Linked DNA regions of Neodiprion lecontei. The protein of the gene in region 1 interacts with the protein of each later gene in a pairwise test. Links are inferred from orthologs where the notes say so. Each region holds a gene or a part of one and is shown on either strand. Other genes may lie near its edges. The genes, in order: moesin/ezrin/radixin homolog 1 and rho GTPase-activating protein conundrum.

Region 1 (12,739 bases):
CATTGATCCGAGCCGAGCCGCCTTTTGCTGTTTCTTTCTCCTAATGTCATGATTCATATTCCGTGACCTTTTGGCCGCTGAGAGCTTACCTGCTGCTGTAGATAGGTGATCCGAGAGCCCATGTTACACGCACCTGTGTCGAAAGCGTAGGATAATCCGTATCCCCCTCATACGAAAAAGTCGATGACGATTATATGTATATATTATTGTAAGTAAACAACATAGGTATAATGTGTGTGACTAGGAGAAGAGCTTTCGCTGTGCCTGAACGGACCCTTACAATTACATTGAATCTGACATGTTCGAGACCACCGGTAGTATCAGTTTCCCATGTTAAACGAGTGGTAGCGGATTATACCGGTGGCCTTGAATGTGCCGGAATGAATTTAAGGGTCTGTACCTGTGACGTTGAGTTGAAAAATAGACCCTGCGGAAACACATGTCGCGTTAAAATTTATTTAAAAAATTATATATTTTTAGCGAAATACTTTTACGGACTAATGATTATTGAAGTTAGTAACGTTGGAGCAACGAAACCGAGATTGAAAAACATGCTATTTTACGGGAATTGAATTTGCAAATACAACGGGTTTTTCATCGTGTATTAGAGAGATGAAACGGGCACACCTGACAAATACCGGTTGGTTGGTAAGAACCGCGCTTACATTAGTGTATAACGTGCATGTATCGCGTGTATGCAGCCTTAACGATTAGAGAGAGGAAATCGAGGATTCTAACGCGCGCGAGCTGCGAACGGTACGAAAAGTTTTCGAAATTTGTAATCGCAGAAACGTACTTAATTGCCTATGTGTACGCTGAAACCCGGTTCACTGAACGCAGTGGGGCACAGATAAGCCTCCGAGACACGTAGGAAGGGGCCTTCGTCGTCCCGCTGTATACATATATAATGTACCTTGGATCTCGGTCACACGGATTTGCATTTATAAAATTCAAAACTACGACGACGACTCGGTCGAGCCGCTCCGAAAAGATGCGGCGCAGCACAGTGACCGAATTATTTCGTTCGGCATAATTGAGTGTTTGAATGAAAATTTTTTTTCCATTTTTAGGGGTGCATAATGCGTTTGAAGCCAAAATAACGAGGACGTGTTTTTTGTTTTTCGTTAAGAATGATAATTTTTCATGTTGTACGTGATTGAATTTCATTGATTTTAATATATATATAGATATATCTTAACATGGGTGACGTCACAATGTTATAGTTTTCAATCTGTTATATTAATGGCAATTTTGATTCAATCGAAAGAATATAAATTACGTCCAAAATATTTTTTTCCAATCTACAAGAATATGAAATAAAAAAATTTCATTGAAATACTCAATTCACAGCAAAACTTTTTAATACTGCAATCACAAATAATCGTGATTATTCAGCAGCCTTGCATCTGTTATCTTATACGACGTGCCTAATCCTTTGAGGGGAAAAAACAATACAATAAATTACTGACCCAAAACTTGTCGATCGGATGATGCTTTCAACTTAATAATTTGACAGAAAATTTTCGAGGCATCGTGTAAAATGGTCCTTTCTTTTAAACAGCAAATTATGTTTTTCCATAAGTCTCTCCCATTTTCAAAATCAATTAATCGATGAATGTTCAACGGGGTTTGAAGAACATTTTCATATATCGAAAATCACCTCGGGCATGATCCAATTTTATAGTTGGAAATGAATATGAAAATTGCCGAGATGAAAACACGGCGAAACTGTACGATACGTACTTGTGGTAAAAAAAAATTAGCATAAATAAATAAAAATAAAAGGGAAGTAAAAACGTTGCGAATCGCTCGGGATGTCCGACAATGAGATTGACGTTCAATAGTGAAGAGTCATTCCCGTGCACAGGGACGAACCGAGCGGAACATAACTGAAATTTGTATCGCGTGCGAGCGGATTCCGATCCCTGCGGTTCATCGGTAATTATTTATTCTCCTGCATCAAGCATCGGCAACCTGTACTTGCCTGCCGCGTTATTGTTGTTCGACTATGTTTGTTATCCAGTCTGTGATGTAACTCTGCAACAGTGCTAATAATTTATCTGTTTCAGGCTGACAGTTTCACTGCCTAGAACGAGCCCAGCACAGCTGCCAAGATGCCGAAGTCGGTAAGTGTGTGGTAGAATAACGGAGACCAGATAACGCGTCCACTACTCTTTGCCATTGTTATTATCAATGTTAGGTGTTCAGGGTACTAGAATTAGGCCATTTTATCGCGCTGTAAAATCACCTCCTCGACGACGATTTCCTTCCTCGCACTAATTACGAAATAATCTCGTTATCTCTGTCGGGACAAGGACGTCAATCGCTTATACCTATATTCTCATTTCCATTTCTGTTTTAAAATGATTTTTTTTTTTTGATTTTTTACCGTGTCAATCCATTCGAATCCTGTGTGCTACGAAAGTTTGTTTGCAATGGTATACTCGAGAAAATACGAGGACAAATGTCTGAACCAATCAGCTTTACTAATTGTAATACAAGTCCTTTTTGTAATAGGTACTATTTAGACGAGCGTTGTTTTTTCCACGTGAAGAATTATAGTATTAGAAACAAGGGCGTTTTTTTTATTCTTCTTAGGCAGCAGTAATTAATTAATAAGTATAAAATTATGTAATATACGTTGTTTTTCTTTTACTCCAGCAAGATGTTAGGCCGCGAAACCTTATTGCACACAGGTTTGTAATTGAGTTTTCATCTCCTGTCCAATCGGTTCCGTAATAATATGTATAACCTACACATAAAACAGACGACAAGGACAATCTGATCGAAGCGATTCTCGTTTTATCGTATGAAAATTTTTTTCCCTTCTCACCTACTTAGCTGATCGTTATCGTTGCAGGTTTTCAATCTCAATCGATGTTTGCAAATGTTTAATCAATGCATTTTATCTTTATACCGCGTCGGTAACTGAATCTTGCAGATATTTATAATACATATCGTATTTGTAAATTCTGTTTCAAATTGTCTTGTATTTATATAACAATGGGAAAAATCATCATCCGCTTGGACGATGACGATAATAATGTCTCGCTGTATATTATCGTTACACATATTTCGTTGCAATAACCTAGTTTGATAAATAAAAAAAATATTTATACATATTACTACAAGACGTATATTATATTTTCTGAGGTGTGAGACACTTTGAAGGCAAAAGCGGGCGGTTTCTACCTGAGATAAGATATCGTAGAGTTGACGGCACCCGTTCTTCTTCTTTGATGAAATTAATTATAAGCAGATTTATCAAAGTACGACAGGAAAGAATGAATTTGTTTAAAGTTTTCCCCGCGATTATTCGTCAGACCAATAATCCATTTACCTTCCGCATAAAACGACTCATTTCTGATATGTACATTATCTGCAAATGACTCAGAATTCGTCATCTTGCCACCGGCCACGAAGCGAAGGAATTTCATCGGAATTCTTTGCAAATGATGAATGAAATGTATCCGCATGTTGAATATTTTTTTTTGTTATATTACGAATTTCTCGCAAGCCTTATCGGTTGTTTTGCCTTTTCGCCAGCTCGTTGCAGGCGTTTGTGTAGCAAGTTTCAAAGCTGGGCAACGTCGTGAGTTTTGCAAATGTTGTGACGTATGCATCATAATCGAAGCACGTACGTTACAGCACCATTTACTTATGTACTACGAAGAGACAGAGACCGCCGACAGTTTATTGCTCGGTAGCTGGATTGGTTGAGATCAGACAATTCAATAGTTGGTGACAGAAATTTTGAAATTTAACTTTGTCGTATACTATATCAGATCTGTAATGGCATAACGCCAGGTTAAACTCGCATTATAGATGCGTTGTATCCATAAGTATAATACATTTATACTTTCATTTCGCATACTGATATGTGTATAATGTATAATAATAACACGCGCGAGAAGTTAATGGAAACAGGCTACGGTTTCCTTTTCAAGACGAGATGCCGCATTTAACGGTGACACCTTATCCCGCTGCTATGGTGTGAATCATTCACGTATCAGATCTATACTCAATTCGCTGGAGAGTCATGAGCTGAATTAAATACATATGACGATAACTCATTTCGCGTCTACACACCTATATAGGTAGTATACATAATGACGTTTAGTAATGTCCATGACGCGATTTTTAACAGTTTGTAGAATCCGGGGTCTAGATCTCGACATTAAATTCGAATCATTATATGTATATAAGCATCGGTACAATGCTCCTATTCCAACGGGACAGTGCAGGGTTTTGTGACGGAAAATAATACGGTTATTTTAAAAAATCGGATCTACGCATATTGATTTTTATTTATTTTTTTTTTCTTGAATATACAATCGAGAAGAATATTTTTACTTGTGATGCAGGGATGTTTACTCAGATCGATATGTTTGACTTGGAATAATGGATCGAGTAAATTGGAAACGTACAAGCTCCGTGAACTAAACTTGTAGAGATCCATAAATAAAAATGATTTTTTTAAAATACATCTGATAATCTAATTCAAACGCCGGCAGAGACTTGAGATAGCTGCCGTTATATGATTATTGAAGTTCGTGACGTTAATATAACGATGCATTTTTTGAGAAAATGTTATTCTGCAATATGAGAATTGTCAGTAATATAATATTGTTATAGTTCACAGAATTTCAAACGATTTTTCGCACGAATGCATCGTTTCGTTATCGTTACAAATTTCAACCTCATGATCCAGAAAAGTCGTCTAAGGACGATATTTAAGTTGTAATCTGCATGTACTGTAAAAAAATCCACCACTTCAATTGGTCTGAACTGAAACTAACCCGTGCCTTAACGTTCCGACGGTAGTCAGATTCTAAAAATTGACATTTAAAAAAAAATAATCCGCGACAGTATCGTCAACATAATGGGGGAAAAAAAAGACTAGAATCGAACAGTGTAGGCAAATCAAACAGGTGGCGCGTGTTTTAGAAAGAAATTGCAATTCTGTCGATAATTCAAATTTGATCGTCGCATCAAATTCGTAACTTGAAACTAATCACGTCCGCACTTTAGATTCTTTTTCTTATCTTCCGGGGTGGAGACGCATCTTTGACGTCGTACGTACTCCGTCGTTTCTTCTTAAATTTCAAGAGCCGCTCGTCGTTCCCAACGAACAAACGAACGTCGACGGCCGAGGGGATTGGCCAACCTGCATCACTCCTATCCCCACCTCGACCGGAGAGAAAAAAAGCCGGCGGTTAACCGGCGTCGTCACGTGATCAAAGTCTTCTTTCTTCGTGTTCGAACGGCGAGAAGTTGGGCGCAGTTTGTGTTCACCTCATCCGAACGATTGATCAAGCCTTTTGCTTTCACTGCAGTTTCGTTTTCAAATAGTTTTTTTTTTTCTCAAATCTTATCATTGTCGCGGGTTTTATCAAGTGTGGGGGGTGAATTTCGCGTTCCTGGATTTTGCTTCTTTTTTCGAAAGAGGACAAGGTGCCGGAGAAGGAACTGAAAGCGAGAGTGTTCAATAAAAGTGGTTGTTCGGTTTTTTTTTTTTGTGTGGATAATTTCAAACTCGTGCATCCCTGGATAATTATAACATCTGACAATCGACGGATATCGGTCTCTTCAAATTTTTACTCCTCGTTTTGATACCTGTGGCGTAGCGTCGTCGATCCGTTTGCTTCTCCTTCGGGATCTCGTCTACAATGGTGGCCGGTGCTAAAATGGTACGATTCAACGAAACTATGTACACATTTATGATAGAAAATAATTAAATCAGTTTAATCGATTACTCTGTAATAAGGTAATGTTTAAAATTCGATTTACCTGATTACTCATCGAGCTTGCATTCTTCCGTTACACGCAATTAATGCCTGATTGTTACACAAACGGGCGGCGTTATTTGGAGCGCAATTAATGCCACTCGTTTCTACCGGATGTATAAGGAATGCTGTACACAGTTACTCAGTTTTGTATGACCAGGGAATTATCGAATCGATAATTATACAGGTGTTTAACTTTTTTTCATCGATAATGGTGCGGAAGAAAATATTATTTGCATGATTTTGACAAACGAAACGGCAATTCTGATCGAATTACAATATGCTGCAAATAAAATTTACTCGGAAATTTAGTCACTTTTCTTTTCCAACTTTTCAACAAGATTCGTATTAATGCGGGACGAAATGAAATTCGATATCCACGAATCAGACTATTGTAATTATTAACGACCTAGAAATTCATTGTTGCTACCACGCATCATGAATCGGGGAAAAAAGAAGGAATTCCTGCGTGAGAAAATCAGTATGGTGCATAAAGGTGCGTGTTATATACACCTTTATAGTCTCGAGGAACAAAAGAAGCCTCAATTTCGTTCTCACGGCAGCTTCAAGCTATAACATACCAGCGTAAAACTGCTTCTTTCATTTTGTTCGGCGTAAAGTCCACTCAAGTTTCATATGTAACGTACATATATATCATATGCGTAACGCCTTTCCATCGTATTATCAAGAATTCAATATCGCTTTGCGCCTATTAACATATATTTTCTTGGCGACAATTAGCCGAGGCGTGCACATTAACTACTTAGACATAAAATCTGGGATGCCATTTACTTCCGCGTTAGACGTAAGAAATGAATTAAAAAAAAAAGAAAAAAAACGCAGGTAATAGCAGCAATCAAGGTTCGAAGATGTATAAAAGTGCAATCGCGTGTAAATGGCTGCATGACGATGGTCAAAACTTACCTATATATGCGGTATACTTGTATTAGTTTTTTTATTCGCCGATGTAGATATAATTAGATGCGTGTATTTCTGTATAGCAGATCGTTGCGTAACGTATAATAATTTCCAATTATTCGCCAAGATGCATTTCGTAATAGCTGTTATATACGAGTCCCGTATTATACCCGCCAGCAGCATTGAAATCTTACGATTAACAATCGTGTGGTTATATTATATGTATAGGTATTACCTTGTGGCTATACCGCTGTGGCTTTAGCTTCTCGCCCCGAAGGCCACCTGTTGTACTCCGAGAATTCTCTTCTTCTTCTTCTTGCTCTTTAGTTCTTACTGTTTATAATAATATATATATATATATATAGATATAAAGATATGTATTCTCGACATCGTAACATATTAAAAACTTTACATTTCTTTCGTGAGTTATAAGAAGTTTTTTGAAAAAATATTTGATCGATTTCAGTTTATTTTTACAACTGTAATACTTCACGTTATGCATTATTACTGCAGTATATGTCGTTACCAATAAAACTGTATTAAATACGTTTTAAGACGAACGTGGGGGAAAATTGAAAAAAGTATAATCGATTTTCTTTTTGTTCGTTGGAAACAGACGAACGTGAGGGTGACGACGATGGACGCGGAACTCGAGTTCGCGATCCAGCAGACGACGACAGGGAAACAACTCTTCGACCAGGTTGTCAAGACCATCGGTCTAAGGGAGGTCTGGTTTTTCGGTCTGCAGTACACAGACAGCAAGGGCGATCTCACGTGGATCAAGCTCTACAAAAAGGTAAGACCGAGTAATAAGATGTAAACTGTTGATTTGAGATTGAACCCATTACATCGATCCTGAGTGAATTTTCGTTCATCAATTATATACTTGGAAGTCTCTCGGAGATGAAATTCACTGGCTAAAACTACGCTTGCCATCGTATTCTTTGGCGTGAATGAACGCTTCGCGACCGACGAGCGTTGAAAATAATATTAGAGCCGAAACACGATCGCAAGCGTGTACCGCAAAGGCCGCCATCTTGATCTTGTGTCAGCGCACTGTTTGCTTCGTTTGTGTTTTGAATGATTGAAAAATATATTACACGCGGATACACACAGTGTTTTCATCTTCCAGGGTTTGAGTAATATTTTTTGTGAGTGAACGTACTCGAGCTTGTGCAGTGTTTTTACTGACAACTCTCTTTCGGTATTCAATGTATGCTAGAAAAAAAATACGAGCTTGTCACTCGTCTTAATCGGTAATTAATCAATCCGCTTCGATACCAACCTGCTACTAATGTGTATAATTGTCAAATTCCAAATCCCACGTTTATACATCATCAATTTTGATGACAATTATTATTTCTTTGCATGTATGTTTTTGTGATATAAACCTCGAAGCTACAACGCGTAGAGCTCGAAAATGATGTAATTTTACGGCGTAGCGTAATTGTACGGTAGTATCATACATTATAGGATAATGTTGTCTACATGAACTTTGTTGTGGTCTGGTGCCTGCGAGTGCAGGAAAAGTTGAGGGATTTTTTCAACCGCATGACCGACCGTTTCAATATCGACGATTAATTATCGATAACCTAAACGTCGTTTCGATTAACATCTCTACGTAACGCGATTGACAAACAACGTTTGCCCGCAGCGTCGCTCTTTGCAATAATAGTTTACGTATTACATATAATAGGTATACAGTACGAAAAGATAAATTTAGCTTTGAAATTTTCCTCTTAGTTGGAATAATACATAATTGGTATGTAAAAAAAACTTAAAACAGCAAAAATTGGAAGATTTTCAATAACTTTTTTTATTTCCATAACCAGCTGCAAAGAGCTGTTAATTGTTTATACGAAAACTTTATTAAGTTTGTAACGGTCACCTCAACACGAAACGAAACTTATTCTACATCGGCTGCAGAAGTTGGTGGTAAAAGTTTCGGCTCGCCTGTACATTCGGTGAAAAAATATTCTCTTGACGAGTATAGGTACCTAATGAAATATGTGAGCGCGGCGAGACTGCATCGGCCACAAAACCGGTCCATGTCACGTGGGATTTACCGCTTGTACGTACACGTACCGTCCTTAGGATCCAAATGCGAAGCCTATTATCCTCGCTTTTTCAAACCGTTAGAAATTGTTAGACGATAATTAACGATATTAATTTATTCTTATATTCAGGATGAAAAAACAAAAAATAGTCCGCTTTACACCTTGTATTATGTGATTACATGGACGCCACTTTGCCACATAAATTTGTAAACTTATATATTGTATACCTCTATACGTGTAGACGTAACACGCATCATGTCTGTGGATATATTTATAAAGAAGGCGAGAAAAAGTCCAACGAGTCCTCGTCTCTGCCGTTGGGGTTTCTTGAGATGAACCACTCTTCTCCACCGCGATAAGGAAAAAAAATGTACGTATGCAAGGAAGGAGAGAGAGAGAGAGAGAGAGAGGGAAAAATCAGAAAAAAAGAAATGACAAATAACACGTGTGGGACACTTTGTGATGTCACCGCCATTCTCGCCGGATACGTGCGTAACTATACATATATGTATAAGGTATATACATTATACATATCCACTTTACCTTATCTCTCCGCAGTCCTCAGCCCAGATTGCCTCGTGTCCTGAACTTCTATAACCATACGCGGCGCAAAGTGTAGTCGCCTAACTGCGACGAAAGAAAATCTCGGATCAGTAGGGCATTTTCCATGTCAGTTTGACGCCGGGTATTTTTGTCCATGAGTTTTGCTATTAATGAGAAAAAAAATTCTGATACTTGTCTAATTCTAAGATGAGACCAAATTTCATAGAAATTTTTCTTGAAACTTTATTTTCGCAGTTTTTCAGAACTCGACTAATTATTACTCATGTCTTTTTTTCCTGATACTTACGAATTGTTGAACGGTTTGAACTTTTCTTTAAAATGTATTTTACTGATTAACGTTCATCAAAGTCGGTACAGCAATAAATGTAGCAGCCAAGAAAAAAAAAAGTTTTTTTAACTGACGTACGTTTTTGTAAGTTCGAAGAATCCTTAAATTAATAATAGTGATTATTCCTAGACTCTGTTGAAACGATTAAAATGTAAAATTGTACACGAGTACGTATCTAGTGCAAAAAAAAAAAGAAAAAACACAGTAAAAAACCACACATCTTGCTGTATAATAAATGTTGTTTCCGTGTTTTATTCGCTTCAAGCCGAAGTGCTAGATTTTTATGCAAAATTTTCACGGTTCTTTCATATTACGTGATATCTCTCGATCGCAATTTAGCTGCCCAACTTTTTGTGTTTTTTTCTTAACGACCGTTTCGAGTTTCGATTCGGAACAAGATTAAACAATCGCGAATCCCTAGTTGCACGCGAATGTCGGTCGGTAGTCGTCATGGTTGGCGGCTTTCACTCGCAACGCACCTTCACCTTGACACAGTCGCGATTGTAGCGATGATTGTCGGTTTATTCGCTACTCTTCGAAAGCTTATGTGCACGTTATGCCTCGTATCACTAACAGAAAACGGTGACGTTTTATAATTACCAAAAAAATTCATTAAATTTTCTGGTTACGGTTCCAAAACTTGTTTTTATTTTGTACCAAAGAATAGATTTTTTTTATTTTCAATTTTATGGTTAAAAATGAAAATAGTTCAAAACTGTGCGGTTGCCACAAGTAAAAATTTCTCTCGTTGTAGGTACGCTACACACATTTGACCTATTAATTACGTAAGATCCTGATCGTCGACGAGAAATTAAATTTTATTCAATATGTCACGATGGTTGCAACAAGCATGAAATATATATATATTATTATATATATATTTATATATATATATTTATATATATATATTTATATATATATATATATATCTTTTTATAATATCCAAATTTGCATCTATGCAGATTAAAGATATTCTTTATCAGTTCTTTAAATCTTGCTTCGATTTCACTGGTTTTATGTTCATTTCTACTTCCATATTCATCTGCGCGCGCATCGAGCGTAACGGTTTTTTTCCCTTCCTTTACCTAATTCACCGCATTTTTCAATTAAGTACACACAATTATCTTGCGGTAATGGGTAAAAGGAAAACGGAAAATAGACGACAAAAAAATTCTTCGCTTCTTACTACAAGTTTTTTGAATTTATTTACCTCAGCTGCTACATAAGAATTATAATTTACAATAAAGTGACGCAGATTTTATGTACGGGACATTCTGCGTCAATTCGACCTCACTGTTCTTACTTTTTTTTTAATCTTAAAATTTGAACGAACAATAATATAAATGAACAAGAGATCGAACTAAAATTCCCAAGATTTTATTGTACATATTCGACGTATTATTCTATCCAAATACAGGGAATCTATTTAAATCAGGTAACTAGATTTTGCATTTTTACCTGCATTTTCAAGTCGGCATCATAACAGCGTCATGTCGTTTTTTTTTCTAAATTACGCAACGAGCAATTTGCGACACCAATCTGCCTCATTTAGCCTTCTACACTTATAATAATAAAACATATTTGTCTCTAATTAATACTTTGATCAAAGTTCGATCAACTACACAGTCAAATGCCCCGTTTTCAGTAGTAGTAGTATAAGCAGTAGTACTAGTGGTCGGTGTAATTATGCAAACAGGTGGAGTTACGTAAATAACTTATAACGTATGTAACTCATTTGATCTGTTCTGTTTTTCTCGATATGGATGTATAATTGTATACGACCGTTTTGTTCACATACCTATAACACGCGGAAGATATGCAAATTGGATTAAACGACGGAATTCAGTATTTTCTGCTCCATGGTGACAATTATTTATCTCGTCACGTAACAATAATATTAATTTCCATGAATTTATAGAGTTATTGTTACCGCAGTATAACAATTCTTCATATTGTTATTGCGTATCTTTACTATTTTCAAATTACCTCCATTTTCGCAATTTTGTGCGTCGGTTATTTATTTATTTTTTTTTTTTCTATATCCACATGCTACAACAGAAACAGAACGAACTATTCAGCCTGTCGAGTATAGTAAATTTTCAATCATATTTTGCGAGAATAAATATTTTCAATTCATCAGCGTTGGATTTAAGGCGACGATCGATCAAGATATATTAGAAATTGATAAGTAACTCGTACATTTCTGTATAATCTGTACAACAGTGACGTAAGTCGTGTAATAAATCTAAGAAAAATTCTTCTAGATTGTTATCACTCTTCGATTTTACCTTAAAAATACGTGCGGTGGAAGTGGAGAAAAAACAAGAAATTCACTAGTATATGTATAATCGGCTATAAATTCGAAATAGTTTCGTAAGATGAAACCGATGCAGTACCTCGTTATTCGTGTAAAAAACATATGTATACGCATATAACGAGAACATGTGTAATATCTCTTTATCTCGCGATCCTCGAGGCTCATCTTTTAAAATAAAACTCCATTCACTTACAGTTTGTTAATTCGTGGCTCATGACTCACGGCTTGGCCTCACCTGTATTTACAATCCTTTTAGATCTTTAGAATAATTTTTGTGGTTTATATGCGGAGGATATTATACTGGCCGTGACTTTGGATCAATAACAATTCCATGTATTCAACAAAATGCAGTTGGAAAACTTACCGACTTGTTTTCTGAGTTTTTTTTTGTTTCTCTGTTTTTAATTTTTATTCATGTATGCAAATTTATTCCAGCAATTTTTTTCCCCCCTGAAAAGAATAACGATAAACTCGTTTGTAACGTAAGGTACATCGGATGAACTTCGTTTATGCATATATAACTTTAAAAGCTTGATAATTCTTCGGAACGCTAATAAAAATTTTCTACCGACTTAATTTACAAATAGTGAGAATTCAAACTAAAAACTTATTTTTATCAGAATGAATTATAGCTTATGTTACTCAGGGATAGTTTAGCATTTCAAGAAGTAAAAGAATTTTTAAAATCGGTTTAGCTTCAGCGATTCACTTACACGCAAACGATTTTACCTCTTTATAATATCAGTATAAATATAGATAACAAAGAAGA
Region 2 (12,678 bases), about 27 Mb from region 1:
GCACGACACCTGACTGCCAATAACTCACTTTTATCAATCACTATTGTGTACGTGCAACGATCGGAAGATCTGCCAGGAGTTTACCAGCGGATCGGGATAGGCCAGCCTCCTCACCTTTCACTGTTTTATCAAAAAAACAGGTATTCAAATTAGCCGGGAAAAAACAACGAGAAGAACTCAGCACTCCGTGGATTGTTGACGTCCGTTACGCTGTCTGCAGACGTTCGCATTCAGGCATTCGGCATATTTGCAGAAACTGCACAGGCAGCTGAGTAACGAGATTCCCCTGGACCCTTCTAATCGATGTTCATCGACGTATCGTTTACGAGTATCAGAACCGAGTGGGGTATGTCCGATATTTCTCGATCGATGACCGTGTTACCGACCGGCGGTAATCTCGATCTCAATTTTTGTTACCGATCGAGCGACAGAGATCCTTGGATCGACCACGACTATCGACGATAACTCGAAACGCGAGAATCGTCGTTCGAGCGTCGTCCGGCGTTGCCAACCCGGAAGAAATTTCTTTAAACCTCAAAATAGATTAGGGTCCGTTTAAAGAAAAACAAAACGTTGTATTTTTATTAAGAAATATTATCGTTTAGGCACGGATGTGAAGAAAATCTGAAGATCTCTGGCATAATGTCAAGACTGATAGCGAAATCTCTAAATATTGTCTGTAAAATCGAAACAATAGACTAAAAATCAACCAATTGTGACGTTCCTGAGAAAATGTGCACCGATTAGATAGCGTCTGCAATTGTCAAATGCACTTATTTAATCAGCTGGTGGTCCTAAATATTAAAAATAAAATCACATTTTATAAGTAAAAGTTCCTAATATATTTATACTTACAGTTTAGATTTAGAATATAAATCTGCCTGTCTTACCTCGTTCTGTAATTATCATTATATATTTCTAAGAAAATTGTCCATGTTATAAATCGATAAAATGAAGTATATTATGTATTCCTGTATTTATGGAGTTTCAATACCATCAAACAACACTCTTGAAAATGAGAAATATGAAGAATTATTGTAGCGCCATTGAAACATCTGAAGAATCATTGTGGTTCCATAGAAATAAGAAATCTGCATAATTGTTTTGGCGCCATTTAAAAAATATTCTTCTGATAGGTTGGCAAAGTTGCGTGAAAGGGTCATCACTCACGCTCACCGTGCTCACGCTCATTACTGAATGGTGAATCTAAACACTGCATGATCCGTGGACAAGGCGTGGCGACCGTCGACGAGCGTCGTCTATTTTACATGCATCACGGACCGCACTTTGTAGTATTCTAGTAAACAATTGAATTTCGAACTGTTTTAACAGGTGTTTGTACCCCGTGGAGGAGACCAGGGTCCCGACGCACAACGTCAGGATGGAGATGAAAGATTATCATCGAGCCTCGAGTGCGTATTTGAAGATATTTCTATTGACAGATAATTCAAATGTATAACGGTTATGGTTGATGACTAGTTGCAGCATGCAAAAGCTATTTATGAAATTCTTTTCTCTTCCAGACGCTCTCGTGTTCGGTGGCCTCGTTACTTACGTCGCTGGACTGATGCTCCTCATGGCTTTTACCAGGTAAATTAACTACCGGTTGATCGTCACTCATTTTACTAATTGACTTCACGCACTGATTTTCACTTTGCTTTTAGTCCATACTGGCTCGAGTCATACGAGGAGACTTTCAGCGAATTCAAAAATATGGGACTCTGGACTTACTGCTTCAGCGACTATCGCCACCCTGCCTACCAGTTTCCTGAACTGTTCAACGGGTGTCACCATGTCTTTTCTCATTACTACTACGTCATTAGAGAGTGGCTTCTGCCCCCGTGGCTCATGGCGGTTCAGGGATTCGTCACGATTGGGTTACTTTACTCTTTCTCTAGCCAGGCAATAATCGCTCTAGTACTCATCAGGTGGCCGCTACAGTTCGTTCTCAGATACGAATGGATACTTAGCTCCATCGCCTGTGTGTTCAACGCAATAACTGGTCAGAATCTTCCCTACGATAACATTGATTGAAACGGTTGAATCTCGTCGTCGATTTTCTCAAACTTCCTGTTTTCTTTACAGCTGTGTCGTTGTTCATGGCCGTTTCCGTATTTGGGGGACAGTGCTGGCGCAGAGACTGGCTCATGTATCCGAACTTCAATCATCTTTCCTGGTCCTACGCTTTTGCTGTTATATCTTTCATGTTCCATGCTTTTGCCGCCTTCTTTCTATACCTCGATGCTCGCATGGGTTACAAAATGCGTGTTCAGTCACGCAATTTAGTCATGCAAATGCATCCCACTCCTCAGAGCCATCACGGCATGCATCGCACTGGTTATATATAAATTGATCATATAATCATCCAATAATTTCCAAGGAAAATTGACTCCGTCCATTTTTACACTTTATAAATAAATATACATATATATAACTATAAATTTTTTTATCGATAGTAATGATGCGTTATTTTTTAAGTAATATTTTTACGCACGATTTTAAAGTATTTTATACACATTTACATATGATGCAGTATAATCAACGGACGTTGATTCTCTGACAATTATGTATTAATCGTAAACAAATTTTTGTGTTTTTTCTGAATCAAGAATCTCTTGTATTAACACACTAGAGAGTCGAGACTATGGTGAGTGAGCGAAAAATAATATATACCTGTTTTAAACACTGGTAGCATAGATTAGTGAATAACTATATTGACAAAATTTTTATAAATTATTCATTCTTTTTATTATATTTCCTCTATGCGGAATTTCTATGCTTGAAAAAAAAATATACATACATAGAAAAATAAACTAAATTAATTTTTCAAACTAATATACATGTGTATGATACGTATACAAACATATTACGTTAAATATATTTTCGAAACAAGATTATTAATTTTTTATGGGGAAATACTATTCCGTCATCAGACTTGAGATGTAACTTAGCTACCCTACTTACAAATGTACAATGAGTATTAATACGAAAATACATATTGCTGGTGAGTAGCTTGATTACAAAATGAAAACATTATTTAGAAATAATTCTCACATAATATATGTGACAGAAGTAAAAAATTAATAACAGTTACACGAGTGTGTCAAATTTCAATTGAAAATGTTCCTGACATTCTTATTTACAACAAACTGTGTACATAATATATGAGACTCTAATGTTTTTTATTCTTGAGAAAAAAAATATGCAATAAATAAATAATAGATACAATATTTTTACATACGTGAGCACATGTACGACCAAGGTCAAGGCACATTATAATTATCACGTAACCGTCGAGTCAAAGCCTCTTGTAAATAAAGATTCAGTGCAGATCAATCAGCATGAAGCCAGTCGGGACTGTGATCAGGTATTACAGGCTAAGGCCTATCGTATCTTTTCAAAATTCTGAGCATTTGTAAAGTTCATCTTCCGAAAAAAAAAAAAAAAAAAAAAATAATGAGATAGAAATAAAAAGCAAATACTTGATATGTCTCAGATCTTGAAGTATAAGTAAAATGAGTACAAAAATATTTGTGCGTCACATATCCACATCACTCTCTTACTATCTAGCTTCTCTGTTACTATTTTTAAAAACCTAAATTGTAGTACTAGGCGTGTAATGTCGTTGCTGTATTATTTGTATCAAGGTAATTCTGTGCCTCCTGGCATCAGCAAAAAATAGGACACCTGAAAAGGTTGTAAATACACAGCTGATAGCAGCGAGGATGAAAGACCAGCTTAGAACGTTGTGCTCCCAGTCCGGCAGCCAGTAGTAAGCCTTGTCTTCGGTGACAAATATCTTAATTGCGATCATCTCGCAGACTCCGGCAAGCAACAAGATCGAGCCAGTTGCCTGGAGGAGTAGCTGGTACTTGTTGTGGTGTTGGGAACAACAAGTGAACAGAGTGGCCAAGCCGCCGCTGATGAAAAGCAGCGTCATGGAGAGAGTGAAGAAGAACTGCGCCGCAATAAAGGAGCTCGGCATCTTAATGTTGAAAGTCTCAAAGATGTCGTAGTAGAGGTCCTCAAAGACCCAGAAACAACCGTAGGACCTGGTCGACTCGAAGAAGTGTTTCATATCCTGGGGACCTTGGAAGCATACCTGCCAAAGTCCTACAAAAGGTGCGCATCGATTTTAATTGCCATTTACATTTTCCTCTGTAAAATGTGTCATGCCTCGACGATGGGTTCAGTTTCATTTTTATACTCAACTTATCATATATCGACGCGTTTTTGTCTGTTTTGTATCTTGCATACGTACCGATTTTTACTAATTTTGGCCTCTCCAATGTACCGTCTGTCTCTATCCAATTGGGTGTGGTAAACGCGATTAATAGGGTAATGAAACCTATCGCCGTACACAATACCGCGCATTTTCCAATTATCGTTTTTCCCATCTCTTTTTGCTATATCCTTAAGTACTAATTGCGCTACGAGACTTTTTCTTGCGCACTTTACTCTTATCAACAATACCCAATTTGCACGTCAAACACGCGCAGTGTCAGGACGCGCAATACAACCGTACTACTGTCGCGACTGTCGCTACGTACTACGCACGCTCGTTCATTCGATTCTCAGGACATGAATCAGTGATAACACCCAATTTTGGTTCCCAAGTTTAACGTAAGTGGCGCCAAACAGAAGCCTGGCACGAACAGTTATTCAGTTATTTCATCGTAATTTCGGAAGTTGGACCTTTCTTAGCGAACACAAGGATTAACGAGACAATGTGAACTTATCGCAGAATAAACTTCATCGTATTAACCTAATCACGAAATTTTCACAGGGGTAATCATCTTTCAAGTCATCTGTCAACGATTGCGCATTCAAAATCGCTGTGTACTTTAGGTTGCCTACAATAAGGCGCAACATATTGATAAGTAAGGATGCGAATAGCGACAAAAAGTATTCCGGTTCTCTTGTAATATATTCCGAATAGATTTTTTTGTGGATAAACAAAAAGCCATTTCATCAAAATTTCTATGATTTTTTTAATTGCCTCGCTTCTATTGTTTGTCCGTTTTATTTTTGCGACGTTGGATCACGATGATCCGTTGTGAACAATCGTTGATTCCTTTTCATCAGTTCGGCGGTATAGTCTTTTTTGGCTTCTTGAATCTCGCGATATGCAACTGACTGCGTGTACTTAACAACCTAAAAGAGACAGTCGTAATTCAGAAGTATTAAACAATCAATTTCGCATCGTGTATAAGTCAGTGAACGGGCGATGTTTTATTATTATCTCTTATGCATCGTACTTGGTTGTGAAAATTCAGATATTCTGCGATTATACCGCAACCGATAATACCGCTCAGTCCTAATAAAAAGAACCTCTGTCTCCGCAATTTTTTAATGTAAGCTGGTGACTGTTTTTCGTTAAACATGCTGCTCGTGATTGAAGATCATCTATGAAAACAAACACGATATTGTACAAGGAATAAAAAATAAAATGACACGTCCAGCATAGGGTTTGAGCGCGTTATAATAATATTACGATAACTCACTGGAATGTTTTCAAATTTCTGCAAACAAATCAAAGCTTCTGATAATCATTTTACCTATCACATAACTGTGACTCGTAGTATCCACTCCGAGTAATGAAAGCATTTAAAATTTCAATCGAAATAGTGTGACAATATTCTTGGCCATATTTGTGGGTCTGAAGTTTGAAGCAGGTACAGAAGTGAAGATAGCATATATTTATTTGACAAATGTAGAAATTCGTCACAAGAAACTAAACGAGCTGTTCCATTCAGAACTGTAATGTCCGCGCAAATGGTCTACTATGAGTTTGCATTCAATCAATGTTTTCGAAATTAGGTATCTGAGAATATTCGTTTCCATTTTCGCCATTCACAAGCTTGATTTGAATTTCGACGACATGACACAGGTTGATACCAGGCTAGAATTTTTAATTTTCATTTGAAATTTAGAGAACGATTTTTGCAAAAGCATTTGATAATGAGACGATGCATCATATGCAGCATATTAAAATTCGACATTAATTTGACCCAATTCAAACTGATTTTTGTATAATGCTTCAGCACAGATCTTCCGAATGAACAGTATCGCTTAAAACCTATCCGATCGAGTAAATCCTTATTCTGCCCTGCGATAGAAATGGATCAACAGATGACAAATAATGTTTTACGGTAAGGTTTTAGCATCCAAGCTTTCTGAATTATGTTGAAAATTAGTTCCAAAAACGTGTTTCGTGTCAGATATAGATCTACTATATCGGCGATACGAAAACGTTTTTCCGGAGGGATCGGAGAAGAATTGAAAAACAATCGCAAGATGGCACTGAATGTCACATTTGAGAAAGAATATCGGAGTGGCGCAGGTGCCCGAGGAGTCAGGTGCCATTTGAAAGAGTTGGTAAGTGAAGTATCCGGCTGCGTTAATACGTGTGGGAACGTGAGTGAGCAACAGGTGACTGGATGTCAACAAAGTGAAGTTAATTAAAAATCGCATGGCAGGTAAATTTGGCGGGCGCGCGATGCGAGCTCAATGAATTATACCGCGATGTTTCTTGTCTATCTGTAATAGAAAAATATAAAAATTAACTGGTGAACAGAAGAGTAAAGAGCGAAGCCAGCGAAGCTAAGGAAAAGAGAAAACAATCATGCATATGCGCGCGCGCACGCGGTTATTATATTATTATGCGTGAGTAAATAAATAACAACGACGTATGCACGATACACGTATGTATATTAAATTTTATATGCACGTAACGCGCGTCGCAGTTCGCCGAGAGCACAAGGCTGAAGTTAGTAACGTTTACACAACGCAACACGATGGAAAAAATCGTCGCTGTACAATTTTAGAACGTCTTCCAAGGAATTTGCTTAACGAAATATGAAACATGTTTTCTTTGTTACGAATATTAACTAGCTGAATTCCGCACAAACCTAAGGATCGAAGTAATGATTTTTCCTAAATGTAGATCGTTAAAGTAACGTTACTACCTTCAACCTCGTCCGAGAGATTGGATAGTCTGCCGTAAAATTCCGACACGCTATCAGAGAGACGCGGTGACGAGTGGGAGGAGAAACCGAGGAAACGGAGCCCAACTGCCTCGGTCGTCTGCCTGGCATTAATTTCTCCGCGATAAGTAGTCAAATAAATTTCTATTATTTACACCGCAGGCTGGGTGTGCCGCTTGCCTCCCCTCGTCTTTCGCCTTCCCGCCCGTCTGCCCACGTATTCGCATTCGCGTTCATACACGGGCCCGGATTCCTGTGATCGACACCTCGAGTCGTCATTGCTTTCCTTATTTACCCCGATAAAACACCTCTGCCGTCATTCCCCCTATTGTTCGCGCCTGCAGCGAATAACGGGCCTCGACGTTCCGTAATTAGGCTCGTTATACCGCTCGATGAGACCTCGCGATGATCAGATAACCTCACTTTAAACCATCGGCTATTTTCCTCCACTCCCTCCGGGATCTGTCATACGCTGAGGTTAGGTTGGTTTCGTTCTATTATCGTTACCGTAATATCGTAATATTATTGTTATTATAACATATCTTATGCTGTTTTCGATTCTTTCGCAGTAATGTTTTTAAGACATCTTGTTACGGGAACTACAGAACCGATGACTCTTTCAGAATTTCATCCTCAGCCAAGTTACTTATCTAATCTAGCAATAATACAATGATTACAATCCGGATAGAAAGATAGTCTCCAATTGTCTACTAGGAAAACTAAATTCACTGTAGTACTGACATTTTTAATCCTATTTTCAGGAATTTTATATAAGTTGGAAACAAGCTTGGATGCGGACATTCATTGATGCAACATTGATGCTCGTAGACAGTTGCAGACTCCAATTGCACCGAGATGGATAGAGCACACGGAGCGACCTATGGCGGGGGTACGGCCAACCTGCAGGAGTACTGGGACGAGTATAAAAAAATGATCGAGGAAACCAAAGTACTGGATGATTATCTGGACGAGGAATACGGACCTCGTAGTTACGACGGTAGGAATCATGTTTGGAATATCAATATGAATTATAATATAGTTATAGACAATATTAGTCATGTACCTTATAGCCTGAGGCAAGGCCGTGTCTGAGTCATTATAACTTCACCGTGCTGACTCTTGTTATTTGATCTAGTTGAGGTGTATTTCATCGACAATGCTCCATTTAGCAAAGTGAATAGTCAGCAAATGCTGAGGAGACCTTGGCAATGTTGATGAGAAAAAAAAATGAATGTGATAAAAAATGGATATGATATAAAAGGAAGAAAAAAAATATTGTTTCTATACAATTATAATCGGCCGTTTGATATTCTTCTGTTGTTCGTTATTTATTTTTCAATTTGTCTCAAGATGGGGAAGAGGAGGCTGAATGGTTGCGAGCCGCTGGACTTGGGGAATTAACTGAGCCGTGGAAAGCTGGGAGGGAGATTCAACCTGAACAACTCGGCGCAGTTCTTCGTCCTTTGTCCAGGGCTCAGGCTGAAGCGGTTCGACGTCGTGTCAGATCTCTGAACCACACGGTCAAGCAACGATTCAATCAAAAACAGCGAGTTCGGAAACCGGATATTAGAGACGTTTTCAAAGATGTCGAGGTGTGATTCCAGGCCTAATTCAAAAAATACTGAAATAATCAATCCGGAAATTAGTTACTGAAAAGCCTTCATAGCTTTTACTTTGATCCGTACAATTAACCTCAGGTTTCAAGCACGGGCACCAGGTCTCGCAGTGCGACACCAGATTCCCTGGATTCAGTACTTGGGGAAACATTGGAGACTGCTTTGCCGCCGTCACCGCCTAGAGTTACAGTCGACGTTCATCAGAGCAGGTAAGCTGAGTGAATAAAATATCTGACGTCTTTTAAGTTCACTGGCCACAATTTATACACATAAACATCTGCATTTTTGTTTTACTTTCAGCGAAAATGTGCCGAGTTTTGTATCAATATTCCACCGCCCTTTGACTGAGGAAAAAGAAGCTGTGCGCCGATTACCTAGTGCTCCAACGTCCATTTCAAATCAGTCAACACATCCAGCTCCGTCTCCTATTCCTATTCAGGAAATATTCAGAAGAGCTGGGAACTGGTCGCAGAAAGGAGACGTTGCCGGAAATTCGGGTAGGTTTACATTTGTTACACATATTTTGCAAGAATCGTTTAATAAAAAAGACTTCCTGTTTCACTGCGGTTTGTAATATAAACTTCGAAATCAAGATGAACATTTCACTTGAGTAGAAAATCTTTTTTATGCAGAGGGAATAGAACTCACTGCCTACCAACGTCTTGGCACTATTCATCTTTCGAGACCAACGATACAGAGAAGAAGCGGTAGCGATCCGAGTGAAGTCGCAAATACTGCTCACCTTGATGTAGAGCCTGCAGGGAAGCTTTCAGCAGCTAAGGAACACGCTACTCTGAGGTATTGCCATGTGATGATTTGTTGAAACGAAACTCACAGAATGTGCGATACTCTTAAAAATTTAGTGAAAATTTACACAAGTCACTAATCATTTTTTTTTTTTTTCTTCCAAAACCAGGAGAAGCTCCGGAGGTCATGCGACTGTGACGCGGAGTCATAGTAGTTTGTATGGGTTGAGCAGATCTGGGGACGAGAATTTGATCACGCATCCGCTGAACCGAACCGCGTCCCACGGGCACCTGAGTTTCGAGGAAATGTGCAGAACCAACGAAGCAAAGTCCCAGGTGAGAGAAACTGATCTCAGAGCAACAATCGAGCCGAAAATCGTTTGAATGTAAACGTTTTTTGGCTCTTCAGGTCTGGGGTTCGGAGGTGCTTGCGGTTGATGACGGATATCCGAAGTATGGAGTGGAGTTACTGTCTCAGCGAGACCTGACCAGACTTAGGTCGCTTCTGTGGCTTGAGCTCACAGCCGTTTTCGATAAGTACAATGTTCCCTTAACCAAGAGAAAGCCCAATAAACGCAGGAGTAAAGGTAAGTGGTTTAGATAATTACGAAAGAAATTGTTTTGACTTCAAGTTCGAGTGGTTTTATCAAATTTCTTTCAGCAGGAAATTTATTCGGAGTATCTTTGTCCACTCTCCTGCTCAGAGACAGCCAATTGACCGCCGACGAGAGCAACGTTCCGTTGATCTTTCAGAAGCTCTTACACGAGCTGTCTAAACGAGGAGTTCGGGAAGAGGGTATCCTCCGCGTCGGGGGACACAAGCAAAAAGTACGAACAACGTCGAAGTACTCAGGGGTTTGAAATCGAATAGTAACGATTGGTAACAACTCGTCTATTGTTTCTAGGTTGAAGCGCTTTGCGCGGAGTTGGAGACTGACTTCTATTCGAAATCTAAGGAGATCGATAAATTACTGCGACGCACACCGTGCCATGATCTTTCGGCGGTGCTGAAAAAATTACTCAGAGATTTACCGCAGCCTCTTCTCACTGTTGAACTTATAGATGCTTATTATCAGAGTCACGGTTGGTACCTGAAATTACGATAGGTGCGATTTAGGGTGCGATAATGTTATTTAATCATGTTTTTACCGTTTTGTGTTTTAGGAGTGAAAACTCCTGGCGAACTGTCGTATTCGCTGAATCTTTTGGTACTTCTTCTACCAGTCGAGCATCGTTGCACTTTAAAGGCACTGCTGAATTTCCTTAAGCTGGTCATTCACAATCAAGGCTCAAACAAAATGTCAATTCACAACGTGGCGATGATTGTCGCCCCGTCTCTGTTCCCGCCTCGTTATATATATCCGAGGGATCAGTCCGACCTAACAGCCCAAGTTAACATGGCCGCTGTGTGCTGTCAAGTGACAGAAGCTCTTCTAAACAATGTTGATAACCTGTGGTACGTTCCTAACGATCTGATTAATCAACTCCGTAGACAAACCGAAGAGGAACGGTACCGTAAGTATAAAAAGAAGTACTACTAAATCTCAGGTACGCGTCCGTCAAGTCGTCGATATGATGAGTTTCAAAGGTTAGACTAGGAGATTGGTTGTAGAATATTTTTCAAGTATTTTACTTTTTGTTTGATTATTTACTCCTTTGTTTTATTCACTTTGGTGCCTAAAATTAGAATAATCGTTACCATGTGTTTTCACGGCATTCACGGCCTATCCCGTTGTAGCACGTAACCGGTAATCGTATACGTACCTATATCAATGATGAAATAAATCATTAAGGATGCATTCAGTTCATGCGAAAAATGATGCAATTTTTTTTCTTTGTTTAACATTATTTTTATCATAGTTTTTCGTATGTTTTCTACAATAAAACGACTAACGAGGTTAGCATAGAGATATTGCAGAACCCCTGATAATATTGTTTTATGCTTCAAAATAAATTTCAAGAGAGGTTTTTCACTGTTTATGCTAAAATCGCAAACTGACTGATCAAATCTTGGGAACTTTTCGAAAATCGCAAAAATATATGTACAATATGTTGTATATTTTGACCAGCCAGTAGAATATCGTAATTTACAATTATATCATAACGAAAATAAAAAGTAACTTACAGATCTTTTATGCTGAGTTGTATAAGGAAGAATAGTTGTAAGATCATTAATCGTTATCATTATTTCATACTATTTATAGTTTTTATTCTTTTGTCGGGATCTTGATAACATTAAATATTTATATTGAAAATTGTTGGAGGATAAATAGTTTTCGTTATTCTCATTTATTTATTTTGTTGCTTCTCCTGTATTTGTCACAGACTGATTGGAACTGTAAACTGGCGTTTAATGGGAATTACCGATATTTGTTTCAAAATTTATACTCGATAATTTGCAATTAATGTAGATCATAAAACCTAGTACTTAATTATTCTCAGTTACATATTTACGCGTGCTATAAATTTCTATGATTTTATGTTGTTAATATTTATTATTTTATCACTTTACTATTATGTATATTACATAAACGTATACACAAAGACAAAATACTGTTTCTGGCTATTGCTCAATTCATCTTTTCGCGTAGCACGAAATCATATTCTCCCGTATGTGTTAGAGTCGCTTTCGTTATTAATCGTATTCTTGTATAATCTGATCGCAGAAGTTTCATAATACAGATTAATATTGGCAGATTATTATCTTTTTAATTTTTTCGGTTTTCTATTTTTAATTGGTTCTGTCAGACTTTTATTAATTTTTTCGATCAATATTATTGGTTTCCCTTATTCCATCATGCGGTTTCTTTCCCCTACGTGTAAGAATTGAGCGTGAATGAGATCGATGTTTATGTTACTAGATAGTAACACTACGAAATTGTTGTATAAGGTTTATATACAGTCACGTAATAATATTTGAGTAGTTTTATTTATTCGTACAATTGTAATTGTACAGTCATATAACTATCGAAATTCCACGAGAATTGTACACGATCCGGTTGGACAGGGATACTAGAATGATTAAGAAAATGAATACGTTTACTTTATGAGTAGACGAAAAGAAGGCGTATCGTCTAAATCGTAAATCGCTTTACCATCATACAATTGCAGCAGGCTTGCTCTGAATAACTACTGTACTATACCGTTTCAACGAACAGGAAACTATTTTCTGACCGGTTGGACTGCTTGAATTTCGTATTAGTTATGGTGACATTTATCATTATGACTATAATGAAAATGTTTGATTTCTTCCCTTTTAGGTACCTTCTTATAAAAGTATGTTTTCAAGTAGGCATGATTGTTGGACTCTCCGTACTTACCCCACATTAT

The links.
Region 2: the proteins of moesin/ezrin/radixin homolog 1 (region 1) and rho GTPase-activating protein conundrum interact in binary tests that used the Drosophila melanogaster proteins (3 or more experiments, as listed by UniProt). The link is inferred for Neodiprion lecontei from reciprocal best matches to the Drosophila melanogaster genes Moe and conu.

Annotation. Positions count from the first base shown.
Region 1 is NC_060262.1:27,734,591-27,747,329, reverse strand, and holds the start of moesin/ezrin/radixin homolog 1, read left to right. Parts: upstream 1-5,284; 5' UTR 5,285-5,669; coding exon 5,670-5,690; intron 5,691-7,320; coding exon 7,321-7,500; intron 7,501-12,739. UniProt on the Drosophila melanogaster protein: Involved in connections of major cytoskeletal structures to the plasma membrane. Together with wgn, involved in control of axon targeting of R8 and R2-R5 photoreceptors, independent of egr.
Region 2 is NC_060262.1:805,171-817,848, forward strand, and holds the start of rho GTPase-activating protein conundrum, read left to right. Parts: upstream 1-6,359; 5' UTR 6,360-6,378; exon of another isoform or gene 6,379-6,479; intron 6,480-6,948; exon of another isoform or gene 6,949-7,114; intron 7,115-7,120; exon of another isoform or gene 7,121-7,468; intron 7,469-7,747; 5' UTR 7,748-7,841; coding exon 7,842-7,983; intron 7,984-8,336; coding exon 8,337-8,578; intron 8,579-8,683; coding exon 8,684-8,811; intron 8,812-8,902; coding exon 8,903-9,099; intron 9,100-9,234; coding exon 9,235-9,400; intron 9,401-9,518; coding exon 9,519-9,684; intron 9,685-9,757; coding exon 9,758-9,935; intron 9,936-10,009; coding exon 10,010-10,176; intron 10,177-10,253; coding exon 10,254-10,431; intron 10,432-10,512; coding exon 10,513-10,863; intron 10,864-12,678. Other genes in the region: uncharacterized protein LOC107222649, read left to right, coding at 1,382-1,412, 1,524-1,590, 1,665-2,002, 2,086-2,348; uncharacterized protein LOC107222650, read right to left, coding at 3,596-4,113, 4,262-4,397. UniProt on the Drosophila melanogaster protein: GTPase-activating protein (GAP) for Rho1; functions with the ERM protein Moe to regulate Rho1 and control proliferation in the developing epithelium. Recruited by Moe to the cell cortex where it negatively regulates Rho1 activity.